Canis lupus familiaris: one gene and its partners. The protein of the gene in region 1 interacts with the protein of each later gene in a biochemical or structural test. Links are inferred from orthologs where the notes say so. Each region holds a gene or a part of one and is shown on either strand. Other genes may lie near its edges.

What was found.
Region 2: the proteins of RAF1 (region 1) and BAG1 form a complex in vitro, tested with the Homo sapiens proteins (2 studies listed by BioGRID). The link is inferred for Canis lupus familiaris from reciprocal best matches to the Homo sapiens genes RAF1 and BAG1.
Region 3: the proteins of RAF1 (region 1) and PEBP1 form a complex in vitro, tested with the Homo sapiens proteins (3 studies listed by BioGRID and IntAct, with this or other methods). The link is inferred for Canis lupus familiaris from reciprocal best matches to the Homo sapiens genes RAF1 and PEBP1.

Annotation. Positions count from the first base shown.
Region 1 is NC_049241.1:5,965,594-5,969,686, forward strand, and holds the start of RAF1 (RAF proto-oncogene serine/threonine-protein kinase), read left to right. Parts: upstream 1-1,285; 5' UTR 1,286-1,651; intron 1,652-3,458; exon of another isoform or gene 3,459-3,666; intron 3,667-4,093. UniProt on the Homo sapiens protein: Serine/threonine-protein kinase that acts as a regulatory link between the membrane-associated Ras GTPases and the MAPK/ERK cascade, and this critical regulatory link functions as a switch determining cell fate decisions including proliferation, differentiation, apoptosis, survival and oncogenic transformation.
Region 2 is NC_049232.1:50,587,512-50,590,349, reverse strand, and holds part of BAG1 (BAG family molecular chaperone regulator 1), read left to right. Parts: intron 1-884; coding exon 885-992; intron 993-2,012; coding exon 2,013-2,075; intron 2,076-2,578; coding exon 2,579-2,668; 3' UTR 2,669-2,838. UniProt on the Homo sapiens protein: Co-chaperone for HSP70 and HSC70 chaperone proteins. Acts as a nucleotide-exchange factor (NEF) promoting the release of ADP from the HSP70 and HSC70 proteins thereby triggering client/substrate protein release.
Region 3 is NC_049247.1:14,854,858-14,859,132, forward strand, and holds the start of PEBP1 (phosphatidylethanolamine-binding protein 1), read left to right. Parts: upstream 1-1,359; coding exon 1,360-1,494; intron 1,495-2,865; coding exon 2,866-2,975; intron 2,976-3,582; coding exon 3,583-3,683; intron 3,684-4,275.

The DNA of each region.
Region 1 (4,093 bases):
TGGGCTCAGTGCTTTCCAAATTTTATTTCACTTAATCCTGTGAGGTAGACATATTACTCTTAAAAAAACAAAAAAAAAACAACCAACCAACCACTCTCATGGACCTTCTATATTCAATGCCCTCTGCTCTTTCCTCTGTATTTATTCTCCTGTCGGTCCTCACGGAGTTGTCTTTATCTCACATCGCTTCACCTTCATTTTTCTATACACTGCACGTTATTACTATTTGAATTTATTATTTTTACTTTCGGTCTCTGTTATAAACTAGAAGGTAGGGCTTCTGATTGTGGCTTTCCCAATACCCAGAACAATGTGTGGTATACAACAGGCTCTCATAGAACATTTAAACAAATGAACGTTGCACACGGCATTGGGTAGTTTCGTGTGCCTGTGTTGGAACGAGTAAGAACGTAGCATACAAAACGTTCTACTCACCAAAAAAAAAAAAAAAAAAGTAATGTTTTGGATTAAAAAAAAAAATCCGTGCATAGATCCTGCTCCTTCCTTTCTTTCATTTCTTTCTTTTTTCAGAGATTCATTTGAGAGAGAGCACAAGCTGGGGGAAGAGTCAGACTCCCGGCGGCGCAGGGCGCCCCAGGCGAGGCTCCATTCCGGGACTCCGGGATCCCGACCTGAGCCCGGGGCGGAGGGGGAGCGCCCCGCCCCACCCCACCCCCCGCCCCTGCCCCCCGCGCTGCGGACGTAGCGCTGCTTAGTTATTCCACTCAATTAACTCACATCTTTTCCAGTGTCGTGTCTAATGCAAACAATAGGGCAACACACATCTTAGCACATGCCTGCGTGTGCCATGGGTACACAGGTCTCTAAAATTAGCATCTTAGAAAAGCGAAGTTGCTAGAAACTGAGGCTCAGACAACTCCTCTGGTCGGGAGGCCTGGCGGGCTCCGAGCATGGGACTCCGGATCGCGGAGACTCGCGTTCGCCTCCCACGCAGGCTGTCGGGATTACTTACTTATATAAAGAAACTTAAAAAAAAAAAAAAAAAAAAAAAAAAAAAGGGGAGACGTTCCTCTCGCCACGACGCCTCTCGCCCTCCGGGGAGTCCAAACCCCGGCTCTTCCCGGCCTCCTACCCCCTCTCCCGGGCGCCGGCCACCACCGCTCCCACCGCCCCCACGGCCCCGAAATGGCGACGGGCGACAGCGCGAGGCCACGCCCCCCGGGAGGCGGGGCCCGCGTTCAGGCTAGAGTGATAGATGCCCGAGCCAAGTGTGCCGTCCGCGGCCAGGCCGGCTCGCGCAGAAGCAGAAAGCCGGTGGCGCCGCAGGTCGGGAGGAGGAGCGCCGAATGCAGGGCTTCTTTGCCGGGGCCGCCCGAGAGGCTCTTCGTCGCGGGCGTTGGGGCCGCCATCTTAGATGGCGGGAGTGAGACGAGGGCGAGCGTGAGACGGGAAGGCTCTCCTGCCGCTCTCCTTGGGCCCGGAAGAGGGCCAGCTGGCCCGGCTTTGGGGCGTGTGCCCCGAGGCGCGGAGCGCGAGTGCGACGATGCGGGGACTGCCCGGGGCCCCGTCCCCTGGGCTGGGGACGCGCCGAATGTGACCGCCTCCCGCTCCCTCACCCGCCGCGGGGAGGAGGAGCGGACCAGACGCCGCCGCCGGACGACGGGACACGGAGGCGGCTCGGCTCCTTCAGGTGGGCGGCAGGGCCGGGCCCTGGGTGCCGGGGGAGCCAGGCGGCGGGGCCGAGGGGGCAGAGTTCCGCGGCGTCCAGGCCTGGGCCGCGCTGATGGAGCTTCCCCGCGGCTGCCGGGGGAGCGCCGGGCCAGGCCGCTGTCACCCCGGGTGGCGCTGGGCGGGCGGGCGCCCTGGGGCCCGGTGTCATGGCCGGCGAGCCGACTTTCCACATCCCCACTCCAATTTCCTTGTGTTTCGGGGAGACGTGCTAGCGCCACCCTGTACTCGGTGCACATTCCTTATATTTTGGCCATGGGAGAAGTCCGCCCCAGAATTGCCCTGTTCTAGGTGTTGTCATTCGGAGGGACTAATTCCTTTTTCTTCTGGGCGCGGAGGGGGTCGCGGTCGCGCATCTGGTCCGAGGCCGTCCCTCAAGTGACACCCTTGCAGGGGGGACGAGAAGAATCGGGGACGAGAGGAGGTGGGTCAGTGCCCCACCAACAAAGGCATAGGGGGCTTTGCCCTGGGTTTGGGGACTCTGTGGGTCACTGATGAAAGGTTTGGAATGCGTATCTTGAGGTTTGGCCCTGGGATGCTTTGGAACGAAGATCCAGCGCTGTCTTTTGTGTAAAGTGAGATCCGCCAGGGCGCTTCGGTTCTGCAGCTGCAGAGGTTTTGCAGAGCTAGTCGATGCCCAGAAAGAGTTTGGACATCAGGAGCGGAGAGGCGGCTGTGTTCATTCATTGTTCTCCTTCCAGGGCCCTGGGTGTGCCCTCTGGTATTCATTTCTCCGGTGGGAAGCGTGTTAGAAGCCCCTCTGTCTGCTTGGGATGTGACCGGGTTCTAGAGGGTCTAATCCAAGGGACGAATTCAGCTCACGTTCATGGAGTATTTCTGCTTGCCTCGTCCTCTGTGGGCTGAGTGGAGGGAACCTGCTCGTCTTTCTTTCCCAAGGCGTGAAAACAATGCACTGTGATAAGGATGGACTTACCGAGCGTAGTGGGAATTTGGAACTGCTAGTTTTGCCTGGGGGAGTCGAGGAAGCCTGAACACTGGAGGGAACTTTTGCGGCCAGTTTTGGACTGACTGATGAGTAAATGCTTACCAGGTGAGGAGGCGGGGAGCGCAGTCTAAGGTGAGGGAGCCGCTGGTACAGAGGCACAGACACGCAAGAGTTGGGATGACTTTGGGGCGCAGCAAGTCATCTAGGGCTCAGGAAGGAAGCGGTGAGGGAGGAGGGTCTAAAAGAAAGGTTGTAAAGGGTCTTTGTTGGAGAGAGTGAACTAGTTGATTTAATTTGGATTATTTTAAATGAATATTCTAATTTTTTCATGGTGATGACTCATTTTCCTCTTGTCTTGATGATGTTGAAGCTGGTAGAAATTGAAAAGATTTACTTTGTTAAACTCATTTAAGAACATTTTTGATAAGCGCTTTATGTCAGATGTTTTGCGCTTACACAGCGGTGAATCAACTGATCTTCATATTCTTAGGTGTTCTAGTAAAAGATTTTTCTAAGGTTTTACTTGCTCACCAAAATGTTGACTTTATGCATGTAGTGCACGCTGCTAATACTGTATTTTAAATGGCCGTTGGCAATAAAAACCACACTCCCCAGTCATGTAGGAATTGGGAGATTATGTGAAACAGTCGAAAGTATTTTTAATTTATTAAGTATGTTGTATATAGTAAACTTGCTTTGCAATGATTCCGTGGTTTCCAATTTTGTTATAAAGTCATTAGCTCTATAAGCATAATTTACCCCAAATCGTTGTATTGTTGTGATTAATGCATATGCTAAAGTGCATTTATTTTGGTCTTAACAGACTTCAGTTAGCAGTTCCTGAGTTTTTCTTGGGTTGTGATGATTATATGCCACTGAAGAACGCTAAAATACTTTTGGCTTGTCTTCATCCTTATCACTTCATGGGCTGTGCTGTTTAAAATGCAACAGAAACATTTGACCCAATTGAACACTGGATACTTGGGAAAATAAACCTGTTAGTGTTTCTGCTGGAAAAGCTTATCTTTTAGGTATGTGGTGTTTGTGATTAAAAATTGTAATGGGGTTGCTTAGCCTTGTTAAAACTTTTGTCAGTAGTTGAAAAGTGTAAGCTTTCAAAGTAGGCTTGAGTGAAATACGTTTGAATATATTTTGTGGGATTTGGTTTAGCAGAAGAAAACAGGAAAACAGACTAAGCTGGTTATTTATGATGAAAAGTATCTAAAAGATGAAATGGAGAATGGAACATCACGTATTGTATTACAACTGCTCTGAAACTAGTTGTGTTTAGTTTAAAACATGCCATTTGTGAAATCCAAAGTAGATGGTTTGCTCAGAACATTAAACATCAACTTCTTGGAAGTTAAATTTGACTTTTCCAGAAGTACTAGGTTACTTATTAAATGGAAAATACAGTTAATAACTCTAAATTACTATTTCAGGTATTTTGTTAGTAGT
Region 2 (2,838 bases), on another chromosome or scaffold:
TCTCTTTATCCTCCTAGTATCATAATCTGGTGTGGGTATCATAATCTCCATTTTAAAAATGAGGATATTGGGCAGCCCCAATGGCTCAGCGGTTTAGTGCTCCCTTCAGCCTGGGGTGTGATCCTGGAGACCTGGGATCGAGTCCCACGTTGGGCTCCCTGCATGGAGCCTGCTTCTCCCCCTGCCTGTGTCTCTGCCTCTCTCTGTGTGTGTCTCTCATAAATAAATAAATAAAATCTTTTAAAAAAATTAAAAAATAAAAAATAAATAAAAATGAGGACATTAAGGCTCAGAGAGGTTGAGTAACTTGTACAAGATCACAAGCCAGTAAATGACAGAATTCAAGCCTGGGCCTATCAGACTCTACACCTTGTATTTTGTTTTGTTTTGTGGCTTAAAGATTTTATCTACTTATTTGACTGAGAGAAAAAGAGAGCACAAGCAGGGGAATTGACAGGCAGAGGGAGAAGCAGGCTACCCACTCAGCAGAGAGCCTGAGGCAGGGCTCGATCCCAGGACCCCTGGATCATGACCTGAGTTGAAGGCAGATGCTTAATGGACTGAGCCACTCGGGCATCCCTACACCTTATGTTCTTAACATCTGCTTCTATGTGGGTATACACTGGTGACTGAAGGCTTCATCGGAGCCAGGGCTCAGGAGGCATTAGCAGCCCCAGTGGGCCGTGTGAGATAGTGGCCTGCAGCCTATTACAGTGCTTTGGGTGGCTCTGTTTTTTCCAAGAGATGAAATTCTGGGTTTGAGGTCTGGACTAGCCTATTGGGGGGAATGTGGGCTCAGTGTGTGGCTACTTCATCAGTGCCTTGGCATGAAGTTTTCTGTCAGCCTCAAGGAACCCTTGCAAGAATGCATTATTCCTGTACAGGGTTTTCTGGCCAAGGATTTGCAAGCTGAAGCTCTCTGCAAACTTGATAAGAGAGTAAAAGCCACAATCGAGCAATTTATGAAGATCTTGGAAGAGATTGACACACTGGTAAGTAAATATTCAGCTGAGAAGAACTAGTTTCCTTTGACTCTTTTTTTTTTTTTTTTTTTTTTTTTTAGATTTTATTTATTTATTCATGAGAGACACAGAGAGAGAGAGAGAGGCAGAGACACAGGCAGAGGGAGAAGCAGGCTCCATGCAGGGAACCCGATGCGGGACCCCATCCCGGGTCTCCAGGATCACACCCTGGGCCAAAGGCAGCGCTAAGCTGCTGAGCCACCTGGGCTGCCCTCCTTTGACTCTTTTTCAGTGAGTTTCACTCTTTCAGTAAAGCACTCTTACTGTCTGAGGATATTGAGCACCTGCTGTGTGCGAGACACTGCTCAGTCCTTGGTAGATACACAGAAAGACAAGATAGTTCCTGATTTTTAAGCAGTCACATCCACCAACGTAGGGCTTTTGTCATTTTTATATTTCCTAAAAGCATCTAATCCTCACAAAGTTGGAACCCAAATGGACTGTGATTTTATGGCCAGAGAAACAGAGGGCTTCATGATACTCATATGACTGGTGATTCCATTGGGTTCATTATCTGTAAAGAATTCAGCCAGACTCAGTCTCTTGTGAGACTATTGGGAATCATCAACTCCATGATCCCTTTTACAGAAAAGATGGTAATGATATTTCCAGCTAGATGCCTCATTTTTGAGGGTGAATTACTCTGCATAGGATTCTCGGGGAGTGAGGGAGGTTGTAAAGAATAAGCACAGTGAGCTCATGGCATGGCCAGGACGTAGTATCTGTACATAGAAAGGAGAGAAAGGACAAAGTCCATGGTACAGATCAGTTTCCATGGCCCAGACACTGAGAGCAAAGGGAGCTTTTATAGGGGTGAGAGCCATGGGAAGGGCCATGTGGAATACAGATCAAGGGAGGAAATCATTCCTGAAAATGCAAGTCTCGTTCATGTTGGTGACTTATGATGCATTTGGTGTACTGTGGGTATTTCATCATGTTGTTATGTCATTCTTACTGAGATTATTTATGTGTCAATTTATTCTTCCACAGATTCTGCCGGAAAATTTCAAAGACAGTAGACTGAAAAGGAAGGGTTTGGTGAAAAGGGTTCAGGTGAGCTGTGTGATCAAGCATTCAAAGTTTAATGTGTGTGTTTATCTGTTCAGAGTAGGGTAGGGCAAAAGTGTGATGTGTGGTATGGACATTTTTTGGTTGTTATTTCATGAGTCCAGAATCTAAGAGAAGAGCTCCTTTCATGTCCCTGTAATTGTATTTGAATTTAAATTAATTGGGGAGGAAGATTGTTGGAGAGCAGTTATAGCTGCCATATGACACAATTTCAGGAGGCACTATTCATGTTCCCTGAAATTGTGCAGTACAGTGGCAAGGCTTCCTGTCCTCACCACCCCTCTGGAGGATTGTTGTCAGAAACCCTGCTCCTACACTGGCCTCTGCCTCCCTCCCCTTATCTGGGAGCCCAGGCTGGCTCCATTCCTCTATAGCCTGTTTTAAATCATTCACCCAGGGGTTCCCCATAATGGCTGAGCAAGAGCCTTGTATGGGCAGGGAATGGCTAGTCCTGGATGGTCCCTCACTGCCCTGCATTCACGTTTTAGGCATTCCTGGCTGAGTGTGACACTGTGGAGCAGAACATCTGCCAGGAGACAGAGCGGCTGCAGTCCACAAACTTGGCTCTGGCCGAGTGAGGTGAGGCGGAGAGAGGCTGGGCCGCCCTGAAGAACAGCTCCACCAGCTCTGCCCTCTCTGGGACAGAAGTGACCTGATTTCACCAGGGCCGCTGGGGACAATTGGCCACTTGCCAGTTTTCCTGAACCTACCCCTGTTCTCGATGAACAAGTGTTGTCTGCAGTCCTAA
Region 3 (4,275 bases), on another chromosome or scaffold:
CCTAATAAGATTTTCCTGAAACTATCTACCAAGTGTTTCTAATATATGTGTATAACGATGTTCATTTCCTTGATATTTATAAAAAGGAAAAATCAACAAAAAGCATGAATGTCCAACATCAAGAGAATTGTTGAATAAATTGTGGTGCATTTAGAAGTCATTAAAATAATGATCTATTTTTTTATATAGTCTATAATGGTAGAATTTATTTTTTAGAAGGAGGCTTACAGGGAGAGAGATAGAATCTTAAGCAGGATCCACATCCAGCACCAGCCACAGGATCCTATGATCTTTAGATCATGACCTCAGCAGAAACTGAGTATGAGGCTTAGCCAACTGAGCCACCCAGGGTTCTCTATAACGGAGTTTAATGCAATTTTTTGGTGAATAAATGGAATGAAATTATTGTTACTGATGTTTATATCCAAATAGTGGAATAAAAATTTTTACTTTTAGGTTTTTTCCTCTGAATTTTCTACAATGAACTTGTATATAAACACTAAAAACAAGAGAATTTTTTAATTCCCTAGGCAGGAGAGGTTATCACTGTCAATAGCTGTCCTAACATCAACAGGATAAGGACTATTAAATAGTACCCATTATATTTAGTAAAAAGAAAGCATTTGTTGGCCACCGGGAGAGCAGTTTTGGCAGAGGTAGAGCCCCTTGTCAGCAAAACAGGAGTTAAGAATGGTTCGAAAATTTAATTAAAAAAAAAAAAATCACTTCCCAGGAATCTTGTTTGCACCAAGCAGGGGCAAGGAGATCAAATATATGTGTAAATATATTTGCGCGTTGAGAAGAATGCTCAAAAGTTCGACACAGGCCCTCTCATGCAGCAGTTACCAAAACAGTGAGCATGCGCAAAAGTACAGAGAGGCGAGAGCAAACAAGCTGGCTGTGAGAAGTGGGGAGAATAGCAAGGCTTTTTCTGCACTTAAAAAATAGACAAAGAATCCTGCAAAGTGGTAAAACAAAACAAAACAAAATTCAAAGCAATTTTTGTTTCATTTCTTGAAACAAGGGGCCTTGCAAACCGAGCCACAGCTCCCATGGGCCCCGGCGGCGGCGGGTAGCAAATTACTCACGCTGCGAACAGAAAGGCAAAACCTACGCGTTGACCCGGAGCACGAGACGCCTCGCGCTACCCGCTTTAACCAATTAGAGAGCAGAGTGGGTCGGGCCTCACCTGTGATTGCAGCAGCCGGTGGGGCGGGACTGGGGCCCCGCGCCTGCGCCTCCCCAGCGCTGGGCCCGCGCCTCCTCCGGCCAGTTTGCTGACTGCTGGCAGTCGGTGCTGCGTGCCTGTGTCCCGTCTGCAGAAACTCTTCCCTCTCATCTGCTCAGCTCGGCTCCGTGATGCCGGTGGACCTCGGCAAGTGGTCCGGGCCTTTGAGCCTGCAGGAAGTGGAGGAGCGGCCGCAGCATGCGCTGCATGTCAAATACACCGGGACGGAGGTCGACGAGCTGGGCAAAGTGCTGACGCCCACCCAGGTACCCAAGGGCGCAGGGGGTGCAGCTGCTCGAGGTGTGGAGCCGGCGGGGCGGGGGGCCGGCGGAGGTGGGGAGGAGGGTCCGGCCTGCGCGCGCCGGCTCCTGCGAGGGGAGGGCGTCGCGGTGCCCACCCCGCAGGCCTAAGGACACCTGCGGGCACCTGCGGGCACCCGCACGTGGCGGGCGGGCTCGGCCTGCAGGAGACAGTGATCTACTTCCCGGGCACTTCAAGGCGTAGGCTGGGGCGTAGGCCCAGAAACAGCTCGGGGCCACGGGCAGGGGGCCTGGCGCGGGGGCGAGGAGGCGGCGGTGCCCGAGAAGTGCTGGGTCGTGGCCACCCCTTGGGCTCCAGACCTCCCCTCAGGTCTCAGGATTTTAGGCCTCAGTTTGGGGAGCAAAAGCCCCATCCGAAGGCATGTGACGCATTATGTAACCGGTGACCAGCATCGCTCAGCGATTCTTCCTTTTGTCTTCGCGGGCTAGGGCACGAAGCCACCCAAAGCTAAGCAAGCCTTGTGCAGCTGGAAGGCTCTAGGGCAACGGCCTTGTTCTGCCGTTTGGCGCGCGACCAGGTCAGGTTCTGGCGACCGCAAGTAGGAAAACTAAAGCGTCCAGTACTTGCCAGTTGTTGGTCGTGAAACTCCGGGACAATGATGTGAATCAACTGCGCTGACAGTTTATTGCTTTGGATATTTACACAGCTTATTGCTTTAGATGTTTAAATATAAAGTGCCCCTCTGGCAGCCTGCCATTTTCCCGGATGCACTGTCCAGTCTGGCCACCTCGACTTTCTCATTTTCTGTGCACTTTTAAGTGTCCAGTTAATTCAGATTTCACTTTAGCAGGCCCTAGCTCAGCTGCTGGTCACCAGATCTAGAAACTCGGTCATTCCATACCATATGAGGTTGTAGTTTGGAAGACTCCATCACCACCAGGGTTGAGATCCTTTCTGTTAATAACATGCCAGCCCTATACTGTTGTTGGAACTAAAATAAATTAATGTATATTGAATTTAAGCTCCTGGCTTTTAGCAGAGTCAATACTTTAGCGTTTATTAATAATCTACTGTGTTTTACCTCTGAAGAACCTGAAATCAAATAGCGTTGGCTTCTTTTTTTTTTTTTAAGGAGTTTTTTTTTTTTTTTTTTTTTTTTTTTTATGATAGTCACAGAGAGAGAGAGAGGCAGAGACATAGGCAGAGGGAGAAGCAGGCTCTATGCACCGGGAGCCCGATGTGGGATTCAATCCCGGGTCTCCAGGATTGCGCCCTGGGCCAAAGGCAGGCGCCAAACCGCTGCGCCACCCAGGGATCCCTAGCGTTGGCTTCTTCAGCATTTTTCTTTTTAACTCCAAAGTGGTTCCTTCCTACAGGTTAAGAACCGGCCCACCAGTATTGCATGGGATGGTCTTGATCCAGGTAAACTCTACACCTTGGTCCTGACAGATCCAGACGCTCCCAGCAGGAAGGACCCCAAATACAGGCAAGTTGAGGAAAGATTGGGAAGCACCAGGTCATCCAAGTATGATCTGGTGCTTCCTGGCAGTGTGTAAAACCCTTGCTGGACATGCTGTGCCAGCAGAATTAGACCCCGTTTGGGATGGTTGCACCCACGCTTAAGCCATTTCCTCCTCCTTCAGTCCCTAGAGCAGGAGTCTGGAAACTATAGTGGAGAGCTACATCGGCCCAACACCTGTTTTTGTATAGCCTCATGGGCTAAGAATGGTTTTTACATTTTTAAGTGATTGAAATTGAAAGAATAATACTTTGTTAACGTGTGAAAATTACATGAAATTCAAATTTCAGTGTGCATGGCAAAGACTAAAACGTTTATTGTCTGGTCCTGTGGAAAAAAATTTGCTTGATACTGCTTAGAGCATCTTGGAGGGAGAGAAGGAGGGAGGGGGGTACGGGGCCCTCTCTTCTACAGACCAAGTGAGGTTTGTGCCTACGAGGGCAGGACTCTCAGTCTCGTTCATCACTGCAGCCTAGTTCAGAGCATGTGTTTCATTGCATGTTTCACAGCATGCTGGCTGTGCAGTGAGTGTGTACTTACTTCCTGTGGTGCTGTCTTGTGTTCCTCGTCCTAGGGAATGGCACCATTTTCTGGTGGTCAACATGAAGGGCAACGACATTAGCAGTGGCACAGTCCTTTCCGATTATGTCGGCTCTGGGCCTCCCAAGGGCACAGGTCAGTAAAGGTTGCTTTGTGGGGGAGGTGGGAGTGGCAGTGTGTACACATTAGGATTGGCCCAAAGGGCTGCAAAGTTTAGTCTGGTTCTCCCAATCCCTTAGCCTAGCGGAGCTTTCAGACAGTGTAGTTCACCTTCCGGGCAGTGGCCTGCCAGAGACATTGACACCTACAGTAGCATCGGGTGGCTAGAATCTTGGGTTGTGGTCAGGTGGATTGTCCATTAGTACTGCCTCTCAGCCACTAGGTCTTTATATGCGGGAAAGTCTGAGAGAGGATTCTAAGGAAGCAGTGTTGCAGAAAGCTTGGAACAACTTTCAGGAGAGGTGGGGGCTGGGGGGTGGGGGGTAGGATGTGCTGCTGCACATGGATTGAATGCAGTTAACCCATCTAAGTTCTGTATTCAGCCTTTGACCTGTGGGATCTTTGAGTTTCCACTTCCCACAAAAGATCTCAGAAATGATCATAGTTTCCTAATTATAAGACATTGGCTTCTTTATCTCTTTGTAGTTCCGTTGTGTCAAAAATCTAGGGTGGTATCATCTTGAAAAGATTTGGAAGGCTTTAAGAAGTATACTAAAGATACACACAT